Caenorhabditis elegans: one gene and its partner. The protein of the gene in region 1 purifies or fractionates together with the protein of each later gene. This does not show direct contact. Each region holds a gene or a part of one and is shown in the gene's direction. Other genes may lie near its edges. The genes, in order: T25E12.6 and Y53G8AR.6.

What was found.
Region 2: the proteins of T25E12.6 (region 1) and Y53G8AR.6 fractionate together in Caenorhabditis elegans (co-fractionation; one large-scale study listed by BioGRID). This does not show direct contact.

What each region holds. Positions count from the first base shown.
Region 1 is NC_003283.11:16,740,513-16,745,381, forward strand, and holds T25E12.6 (DUF38 domain-containing protein), read left to right. Parts: upstream 1-1,910; 5' UTR 1,911-2,044; coding exon 2,045-2,576; intron 2,577-3,009; coding exon 3,010-3,224; intron 3,225-4,086; coding exon 4,087-4,296; 3' UTR 4,297-4,369; downstream 4,370-4,869. Other genes in the region: clec-39 (C-type lectin domain-containing protein), read left to right, coding at 47-195, 322-466, 512-643, 691-1,076; gyg-2 (glycogenin glucosyltransferase), read right to left, coding at 4,726-4,869.
Region 2 is NC_003281.10:3,292,765-3,297,752, forward strand, and holds Y53G8AR.6 (SAP domain-containing protein), read left to right. Parts: upstream 1-1,978; 5' UTR 1,979-1,987; coding exon 1,988-2,119; intron 2,120-2,241; coding exon 2,242-2,567; intron 2,568-3,522; coding exon 3,523-3,826; 3' UTR 3,827-4,484; downstream 4,485-4,988. Other genes in the region: Y53G8AR.8 (ATP synthase subunit s-like protein), read right to left, coding at 920-1,043, 1,132-1,297, 1,367-1,565; Y53G8AR.5 (RING-type domain-containing protein), read left to right, coding at 4,694-4,861.

The sequences.
Region 1 (4,869 bases):
TTAAACACTTTCCTTGCTGGCGAGACTCCACCTTTAAAGTCTTCAGCCCCATCGGATTTCTCATGCCAGCACGGCTTCACCCTAGTCAACAACAAGTGTTGGAAACTGGTAACTTCAAATCAAGCAAGACCAGACGCCGACAAAATTTGTAATGGGTATGGAGGTGCCACTCTTTTTTCCATAAAAAGTGAACAGGTATCTTGCAAAACTGAAAAGTAGTTCTGTGTTCGATTTGCTCGGCAAATTTTCATTTACGAATCCTTCCGCGATTTGACCGGCAGGAAAAGAAAAAATAATAAGCCAATTAGATCCCGCTTTCAGGACAACAGAGCAATGATACACTTTGTAAAAGGCCAGGACATTGATTTTCTGTGGTCGGGTCTGCTGTGTAGTGCTGGAGAACCCATCTCATGCATATGGGACATCGAAAACGGATCAACAGCGAATTATAGCAATTTTGCAGATGGTTTGGGATACTTTAAATATTCGTCATAACAAAAGAAATTCATAGGTTTTCCAAATATTGTCTATGGAAATTGTGTGTACTTCATAACTTCTGGGGATGAAGCTGGGCAATGGGGTAACGAACAATGCGGTCAGGTTATGAACTTCGTTTGCGAGCTTCCGGCAACTTTTCAAGGTAGTAAGATTAATATTTTACAATATTTTACAAAAAAATATAATTTTCAGAAGATGGATGCAAGAACAATTACGAGAAGTCATGTTATCTCCGCTTTGACTTGAATCTCACAGTCCCACAGGCCCAGAACTTTTGCCTTGAGAAATGTGCAAACCTGGTCTCCATCCACTCGGCGAACGAAGTCCGCTTCATCATGACTATCTACGATTTTATAGGCGAAATATTGATCGGTGCACTTGCACCGGCCCAGGATTTTATTTATTGGCTTGATGGTACACCGGCAAATTATAACAACTTGAAATTTTTCTATAATTCCACTTGTGTTCATATGACAGTTGCACCTGGAATGCAGAATGTTGGAAAATGGTTTACTAGATTTTGTACGGAAACGGGCAAATTTTTGTGTAAGCGATCAATCAAGAATTCGTGTACTTGAATAAAGATTTTCTTGGTGATTTTTTGTTTTTGACGATTATTGTATTTTTTTAATTAAAAAAAAACGGTTTTTAAAGATGTCACAGTTTGAATTTGTAAAACTAATGTTTTCAACTGAAAAACGCGAAGTTTATATCGATTTTTTGAAATTCTAAGTAACAATTGTAGATTCCAATGTTTTTTTTTTTATATGGAAAATAATTAGGAAGACAATTAGTTAATTTTACAAAGTTTCAGAGAAAGTTGACCAAAAAAAATGTTTCTTTTTCTTCGTCCGAGTGTTTTGAAATATGCCAAGTTAATTTATTCAGCTTGACTGCTAGGGCTTTCATGGTAGGCAGGCGCGGTTTCAGGGCATGACGGCTGCCTGAAACCTGACTCGCCTGGCGCCGGTCTTTTGCCTCTTTTCGGCATTTTGACACTACTCATTTCTATCATTTTGTTAAAAATCAATTTTAGAAATTAAAAAAAAAATCACATACATATGTTTAGCATAAGCCACGTATTGAGGCGTGAGGCAAGTGGAGCTCGTTTTGAAGTCAGGCAGGTAGGCGCTTTGAAAGTAGATAGCGGTTTTCTACTATGTTCGTTCAAAAAATTATCTAGGAAAATGATTTTTTTCATTTGGGAGAATTTTAATAAATTGGCAGTGTTTTTCATTGTAACATTTCCTCGGTAGTTGAGCACTTTCCCATCATTTTGCAAGGAACCGATATATGAGCTGCCACTGTAGAGTACATATGCAGCGTACCAACCAGATGTCGTTTTTATGACGTAACGTCTCCCGTGCAATAACCGTGCTCTTCAAGGACCCGCATCGATCGATTTATAGCGCACATTGCGCGTTCCACCTTACAACTAGCTAGTGAACCACTACCACCGTCATTCTTCTGCCAGTTGTTTCTTCTGTTTACTACTCATTTCTGTATTCTCCTTCTTCTCTTTTGCCTTATATATTATACTCTAAAAATGGAATCCACTGCCCCCAATGCTCCAACTGAAGAGGCTCCAGAGCCGACGCCATTCGTCTTCGAGTTCAAGAACAATCACATCAAGCTCATTGAGCTGCATGTCTACACTGATAGTATGGAAATCTTGCTTATTGGAAACGACGGTAACCGTTACGAAGTTGAAATCCAGGAGTACCCCGGTGAAGCTTGTATCGAACAGATTTCATTGAATCGGGTGCTCGTTCAGAAAAAGGAATGCACTTCGATGTACCCGAGTGCACCGATTGCCATTGTAACTCTCTACTCGATTTTGCGCCAGCCAGGTGTCAAAGTCGATTGCTTTTACTATCGAATTCTGAATCAATACTTTGTGAGAGACAAGAATAACAAGACGGAGCATGCGAAATGGGATGAAAGGTCGGCTAGTTTGACTAAAATGCTCAAGGCAATGATGAGAGCATTGATGAAGAAGCTTGAAGTGGAGGTGTTCAAGATTGTGTACAATGGGAAGGAGGAGGAGGTGATGTGCCTTTTGCCGTATTTTGAACCAGGTTAGTTGCTTTCTTTCGATTTGAATATAACATTTTAACTCAAAAAAAGGACCGAAATGAGTGTAAACAGCCTCGGCGAGCTTAAATACTTTGAACATGGTGCAAAACTCGTAGTGCGCCTTTAAAAAGGGGTTACTGTAATTTCGAAAATCCATCGTTTTTGAATGTTGATTATTACCCAGACGCTAAAATTTTCAATTTTCCAAAACCCGGTATCCGGTCTCGCCACGACAATTTTTGTTAACTTCAAAACGGTGTGCGCCTTTAAAGAGTACTGTAACTTTAAACTTTCACTACTATGCTATGAAATTTTCCTGTATTTTTTCCGCGTATGTGTAATAACAAAAACCGTAATCCCTCATTAAAGGCACACAAGCTCCAGAGATCTGCTTACAAAATCAAATATTATTCAAAAAAATTAAAGTTTTTTCAGGATATCTCCGAAGAATTTGCCTGTTCAACCCGCTGTACGTGTCACCAACAGTCATCGATAACATAATCACCACGGAGCAATGGAAGCAGGCGAAAGAGCTCAATACAATGACCGGCGAGCCAGTTGCATTTCCAGTTGAATCGCACGCTCACTTTGAGAGTTTGAGAATTCGAATTCCTGAGTTAAAGCAAATCGATGTTATATTATTGGTTTTGGTGGGTTTTTTTTTAAATTTTATTGTGTTGCTTCGATCCAAACGAATCAAAAATAGTCTAAAATTCGGAAAAATCAGGCCTTGGCTTAGGCTTACTATTAGGCTTAGATTTAGGCAAATATTAGGCTTTGGCTTAGGCGTAGACTTACGCTTGGGATTAGGCTTACGCTTAGTCTTAGTCTTAGACGTAGGATTAGGGTTAGGCTTTGGCTTATGCTTACGCCTAGACTTAGCAGAACAAGATTTTTCAATATTGGTTAAATGTTCCCTAAAACGAGAACTGCGACCAATGAACAATTTGCTCCGCCCACTTCTGATCCAATCAGATGAAGTGGGCGGAGATCGCAGACGCTGATTGATCCGAAAATCTTATTTTGGAGGGAATTCAAGCAGAAAATTCAGCCAAAATTGAAAAGTTTTTCGCTTTTCTTTTGTGTATTTTCTGAATTGGAGACTGTTTTTGATTTGTTTGTTTGAAGCAAAATCTCTATCCACGTTACAACTGGAACAGAAAAATGCGTAATGTTCCACGCAAAATATCTCGTCGCGAAAACTACAGTAACTTTTTAAATGACTACTGTAGCGCTTGTGTCGATTTACGGAGCTCAATTTTTATTCGATAAAATATTAAATGAAAACAAAAAAAATTACAAAACATGACGAAAAATAAAGAAAATTGAATATCATTTTTAACATCGGACCCGTAAATCGACATGTGTGCTACAGTAGTCGTTTAAAGGATTACTGTAGTTTTCGCGACGAGATATTTTGTGCGTCAAATGTGTTGCACAATACGCACAACTTTGTGTTCCCGTAAAACGTCACAGTAGATCAAAGATTTTCGCTTGAATCCTATTTTTCAGAAATACTTGAACCAGAAAACGCCAAAAGACAACGAAATCGGCGTGCAAAACGTGTCGGAGCTGTTCGATTTCATGTGGGGATCAATGGGAATTCCACACGAAAATGATCCTGAAACTATAAGATACACGTGGAAGAGCGGAACCTACAACCTGTACGCAGAAGTCACAAAAAATGGAGTCAGATTCACATCGGAGACTCGTCAGGCTTAATTTGTCATCTTCAATCTGTAAATTTAATCTTTTGTGAATAAATATCCACGGGGTTCAGCCCTTCCTCATTGAATTTTTCGCGCTTCATTGACAATCACCTGCCGGACAACGCGTGCACTCCACACGGACAAATACATTTAGTTTTACAACTAAATTCGAGCCGCGACGCGACACGCAACTCGCCGTAAATCTACCCCAGATATGGCCGAGCCAAAATGGCCTTGTTCGGCAAACTCTTCCATTACAATTTATGAAGGAAGCCAAAATTCCGTGAATATCGCCTAAAAAGTCCTTTAAAAATAGGAAATAGCGAATTTATTCTATTTTCCTATTGATATGGTACATGAATACGAGTGCGATCACAATATGAATAAATCTCTGAACTATTAGAAAACTATAGAAATACATTATGGCAATTTAATGGAAAAATTAGGGTTTCGCCGGTGGCTTCACAGCGGCCATGCTCTCGTCAAGTGCTTTTTGGATATTCTTGAAAGCGTCTTTTCCAAGATAATCCGGATGTCCAGCCTCCCAGGCGATACGCTGCTTTTCCGAATCATCCTCGACCTTTGG
Region 2 (4,988 bases), on another chromosome or scaffold:
CGGGTTTTTGGGGTGAAAAATGGCGAGAAACCTGAGTTTTTAATTGAAAATTATGAAAAATATAGTTTAAAAACTGAAGATTCGAAAATTTTTTAAGTTTTCGGGTATTTTTTAGCATTTAAAATGTGCATTTTCGAAAAACTAACAAAATCGAATTCCCCGCCTAATTTTAGCCCTAAACGCTTTTTTTCTGAAGTTATAGCGTAAAATTGGAATTTCCGGGGGTACTGTAGCTCCAAAAGTACGCAAACACCAGATCTGACGACAAAATGCAGAAAATTGGGAAAATCACGTTTTTTGGGGTGCAAAATGACGAGAAACTCGATTTTCCACTCAAAATTGTGCAAAAAACTTTAAAAATGGAGAAAAATAACAAAATTTTGAAAAAAAAAGAGAAATAATCCTTTTTCCGATTAATTTTTCTGAAAAATGATTCGAAAATCGAATTTCCTGCCAATTTCTACACCTGAAAGCTTTTTTCTGAAGTTTTAGCGCAAAATTGGAATGTCCGGGGGTACTGTAGCTCCAAAAGTACGCAAACACCGCAACACACCAGATCTGACGACAAACTGCGGAAAAATGAGAAAAACTAGCTTTTGGGGGGTGAAAAACGACGGGAAATCTGAATTTTAAACAGGAATCTCCCAAAAACTGACAATTTCACCAGAAAATTCACTTGTAGGAGTACGGTAGCCGCGAAAATACGCAAACACCAGATCTCACGACAAAATGCAGAAAATCCCGAAAAAACGGGTTTTCGGGGTGAAAAATGACGGGGAATTTGAATTTTAGGGTGGAAATTGTCTAGAAACCCAAGAAAAAAGTGAAAACCCGCAGAGAAACCGAGTTTTTTAGTATTTTTTCGGGGAAAACCCAATTTTTTCGCAATTTCCTCTTAGTTTTCTTTTTTTTAGCTCACATTCCACTTATCCTTCTTATACCAATTATCATCGCCGACAAACTTCACCGCCGCACCTCTGTGTACCAGAAAATGAGCCGCCGCCAGGTCGGGCCCGAGGAAAAGTAGTCTTTCGGGGATTACTCTGCAAAAAAATGGGGTTTTCAAGGTTTTAAATAGCATTTTTTAGGGTATTTTTCTTGAAAAATCAATAAAAATCAATAAAAAATCGCCTCTGATCATATTGCATATGCTGAAACTTTTTATATCTCCGATATCGTTTAATATTATCGATTGAATGATCTACGTAGCGCATTTGTGTGTGCCACGTCAGCAGCTCCATCGGCAACTGTCCAGTATCCTTCCGTGTCATGTCTGCTGGCGCTTTTTTGGGATTTACTGGAAAAAAACCAATTTTTTCCGGTAATTTTCAGTAAAAATCGATTTTTTTCCCAATTAACAACCCACAATCATCGGGTCTTTCCGGTGTAATATACAGTCCCGTCGGTAATCGAATAAAATTCTTATTCCTCTGCTTTTCCTGCACATTTTCCACATGTGCCGCCTGCATTTCCTGCCACCGCTTGAATCTCGACCATTTATGTACCCATCCGTTCGATTTTACACTTGTTCTGAAGCTTCGCGCGGTGCAATAGACCCGGTTCATGCTGAAAATGTCGAAAATTTCGAGAAAATCCGTGGAAAACTGATTATTTTGAGCAAATTTGAGCAAAAATGAAAAAAAAAGAATTATTTTTAAAGGCGCATAGGATTAAATGGGCTGTGGGTCTCGATGGGACCGGTGGAGAGAGTGTGTAAAGGAGAGAGACGCAGACATTGCAAATCTTTATTTTAAATTTATTAAACAAAAATTAATGATTTCGCTTGTTTTCGTGCGATTTTTTTGGTTTTTCTGTTGAAAAATGAATGAAAATTGCATTTTTTGGGTTAAAAATGTTGATTTTCAGCTAAAAATCCGCTAGAAACCGTCTAAAAACCTGTAAAGCCTACGCTATTGATTTTTTCGCGGGATTCTCCCAATTTTTCCCGCGTTTTCTTATTTAAAATTGTTCAAATTGCAGATAAAAAATGGTTCTTAGCGTCGCCGATGCCAAGAAATTGACAGTTCCACGTCTGAAGGAGGAACTCGCCAGCCGTGGGCTCGATAACACCGGAAACAAGCCGGAGCTGTTGGCAAGGCTCACAGAAAGCATTGAGCAGGTTGGAAAAGAAGGAAAATTTGGGAATTTTGATGAAAAAATAGCGAAAAATCCAAATTTTTTGGAAAAAAAGCAAAAAAAAAAATTTTTTCTTTTTTTAATTTAAATTTTTTAATTTTCCAGGCAGCCGACGAGCTTCTGGGCGACGCTGGAATCACATCTGACACTCATTTATTATCAGATGATATTCTAAATGATGATATTCTCGATGCTCCGAGTGTTGGAGACGAATCTGAAGCTGATAAGCTTCTGGGATCAGTTGACGGAGCAGAAGAGCACAAAACAGATAAATCCGAGGGAGAAGAGAAGCATGAAGTTCATTTAATTGATAAGAAAATCGATGAAGTTACTGCAGAAACTGATAAAAGAGCCCGTGCCATACGATTTGGGCTCCCCGTCACTGCTGAAGACCTCGGCTCGGATGGAGCTAAGGCTGCCAGGGCTAAGAGGTTGAAAATCTATCAATTTTTGGCTTAAAAATGCTGAAAAACGATGCATTTTGTGGAAAATCTGACGTGTTCAGCTTAAAAACTGGAAAAATGGGATTTTTGCCCTCAATTCTCACTAAAAATTATATTTTTAAAGTTTTTCGCACGAAAATTTGCTGTAAAATCCTTTTTTTTCACTCAAAAACTTGTAAATTCGCATTTTTACAAATTTTTCTCCCAAAAAACCTCTAAAACGCAATTTCCAGCCATATTTACACTAAAATTTTTAGAATTTTGAGATTTTTGAATTTCCCACTGATAAAAATGCCAAAAACTCCAATTTTAACTACAACAAACGTGAAAAATCCTAATTTTTCACTGTAAAAATGAAAAAAAAAAGAAAAAAAAATGCCAAAAATCCCGAGTTTTACTTAAAAAGCACTAAAAATCTTCATTTTTCACTGAAAAATGCCAAAAAATCTCAATTTTCACCTTAAAAACACCAAAAATCCTGATTTCCTGTATAAAAAATGCCAGAAAAATCCGATTTTCACCACAAAAAAGTCGAAAAATCTCATTTTTTCGCTTAAAAACCATCAAAAAGTCCAAAAAAATTTTCTATCAAAAATGCCTTAAATTACAAATTTTCCAACCTGAAATGCAATTTTTCACTTAAAAAGCCTAAATTTCTGACTCTGTAATACAAAAAATGCCAAAAAATCTCAATTTTCACCTAAAAACTCTCCAGAACCCCCGTTTTTCACTTAAAAACACCTAAATTTCTAACTTTCTGACCCAAAAATTGCCAAAAATCCCAAAAAAAAATCCCAATTTTCACCTAAAAACTCTCCAAAAACCCCGTTTTTCACTTAAAAACACCTAAATTTCTAACTTTCTGACCCAAAAATTGCCAAAAATCCCAAAAAAAATCCCAATTTTCACCTTAAAACTCCTCCAAAACCCAAATTTTTTGCAGATTTGATCTCCCAGAAGACTCAAAACGACTAACATCAAATGACGCGAAGGCTTCACGTGCTGAAAGATTCGGAATTACCCCAAAAACGCCTGCCGCTGATGATAAGCTGGCCGCCCGTGCCGCCCGTTTTGGAATTCCAGTTGGTGGAGCAGCTTCAGCTTCAGCTTCGAAAAATGCTCCAAATTCTGAGGGAAAAGCTGCAAAATTGGCTGCTCGAGCCAAACGATTCGGTGGTGAAATTGATGATGAGGAGATGGAAGCAAAGAAAAAAGCAAGAATGGAACGATTTGGAACATCTAATTAATTTTCTGATTTTTGTGCATTTTTTACTTTTTTTTTTTGGGAAAATTGAGAAAAAATGAGATTTTTGAGCTAAATTTTTGAATTTTTTGGCGAAAAATGAGCTGAAACCCAATTTTTTGCTGAAAAAACTGAAAAATTCTGTAAAAATTAACATTTTTGACCAAAGTACCCCAAGAAATTCAAAATTTCATTAAAATATATGAAAATTGCTGAGATTTTGCAACTTTCACTGAAAAATTTAAATTTTCCCCCAAAATTTTAGATTTTTATCGAAAAAAAATCGTTTTCCTCTCGAATTTGTGATTTTTCTAGAAAATTTCGACTCTGGCTAAATTTTGCGATTTTTCCGTCAAAATTTTAGATTTTTTGCCGAAAAAAAAATTAAATTTTAACGAAATTTGATTATTTTCTCGAGTTTTCCTTGAAAAAAATCACTTTTCCCTAATTTTCGTGAAAATTTATGAAAAAATCACTTTTTTCCCTAAAAAATTTCCCATTTTCCTCGATTTTCGTGTGTTTTTCCCCGAAAAAAATTATATTTTTTATTTATTTTTTCAATTTTTTAACCCAAAACTTGTTGTTTTATTCTTATTTTCCCTCTAACTTTTTGTTTTTTCCCAATTTCTCCATGAAAAATCTGGATTTCCAGTATAATTACAGCTTTTTTGTGTAATTTTTAGAGTTTTGAGTTTTTTGTTGTGTGATCGATCACATACCTGAAATTTTGGATTTTAAGCTGAATTTTTAGAACGAAAATTTGAAAAAATTGAGAATTTTCACTGAAAAACCACGAAAATTTTTGAATTTTTCACAAAAAATCAAATTTTTAGTGAAAAACTCGACTCTTTTCCCCAAATTTTCAGCCAAAATGGAGTCTGCAGACGGTGAAATTGAAGCCCTATGCAGTATTTGGGATGGAGTCCACGTGGAGTCCAAATTAGAAGCTTCTCGGCGATATTTAAAGCATAAAATTAAATCATTGGAAGATGAATCCACGTCTGCATCGGTTTTAATTGAAATGACCGTCTCTGAAGGGGTAAAAATTGGAGTTTTTTAGTGTTTTCGGGTGAAAAATTCAAATTCCCCGTCATTTTTCACCCCGAAAACCCGTTTTTTCGGGATTTTCTGCATTTTGTCGTGAGATCTGGTGTTTGCGTATTTTC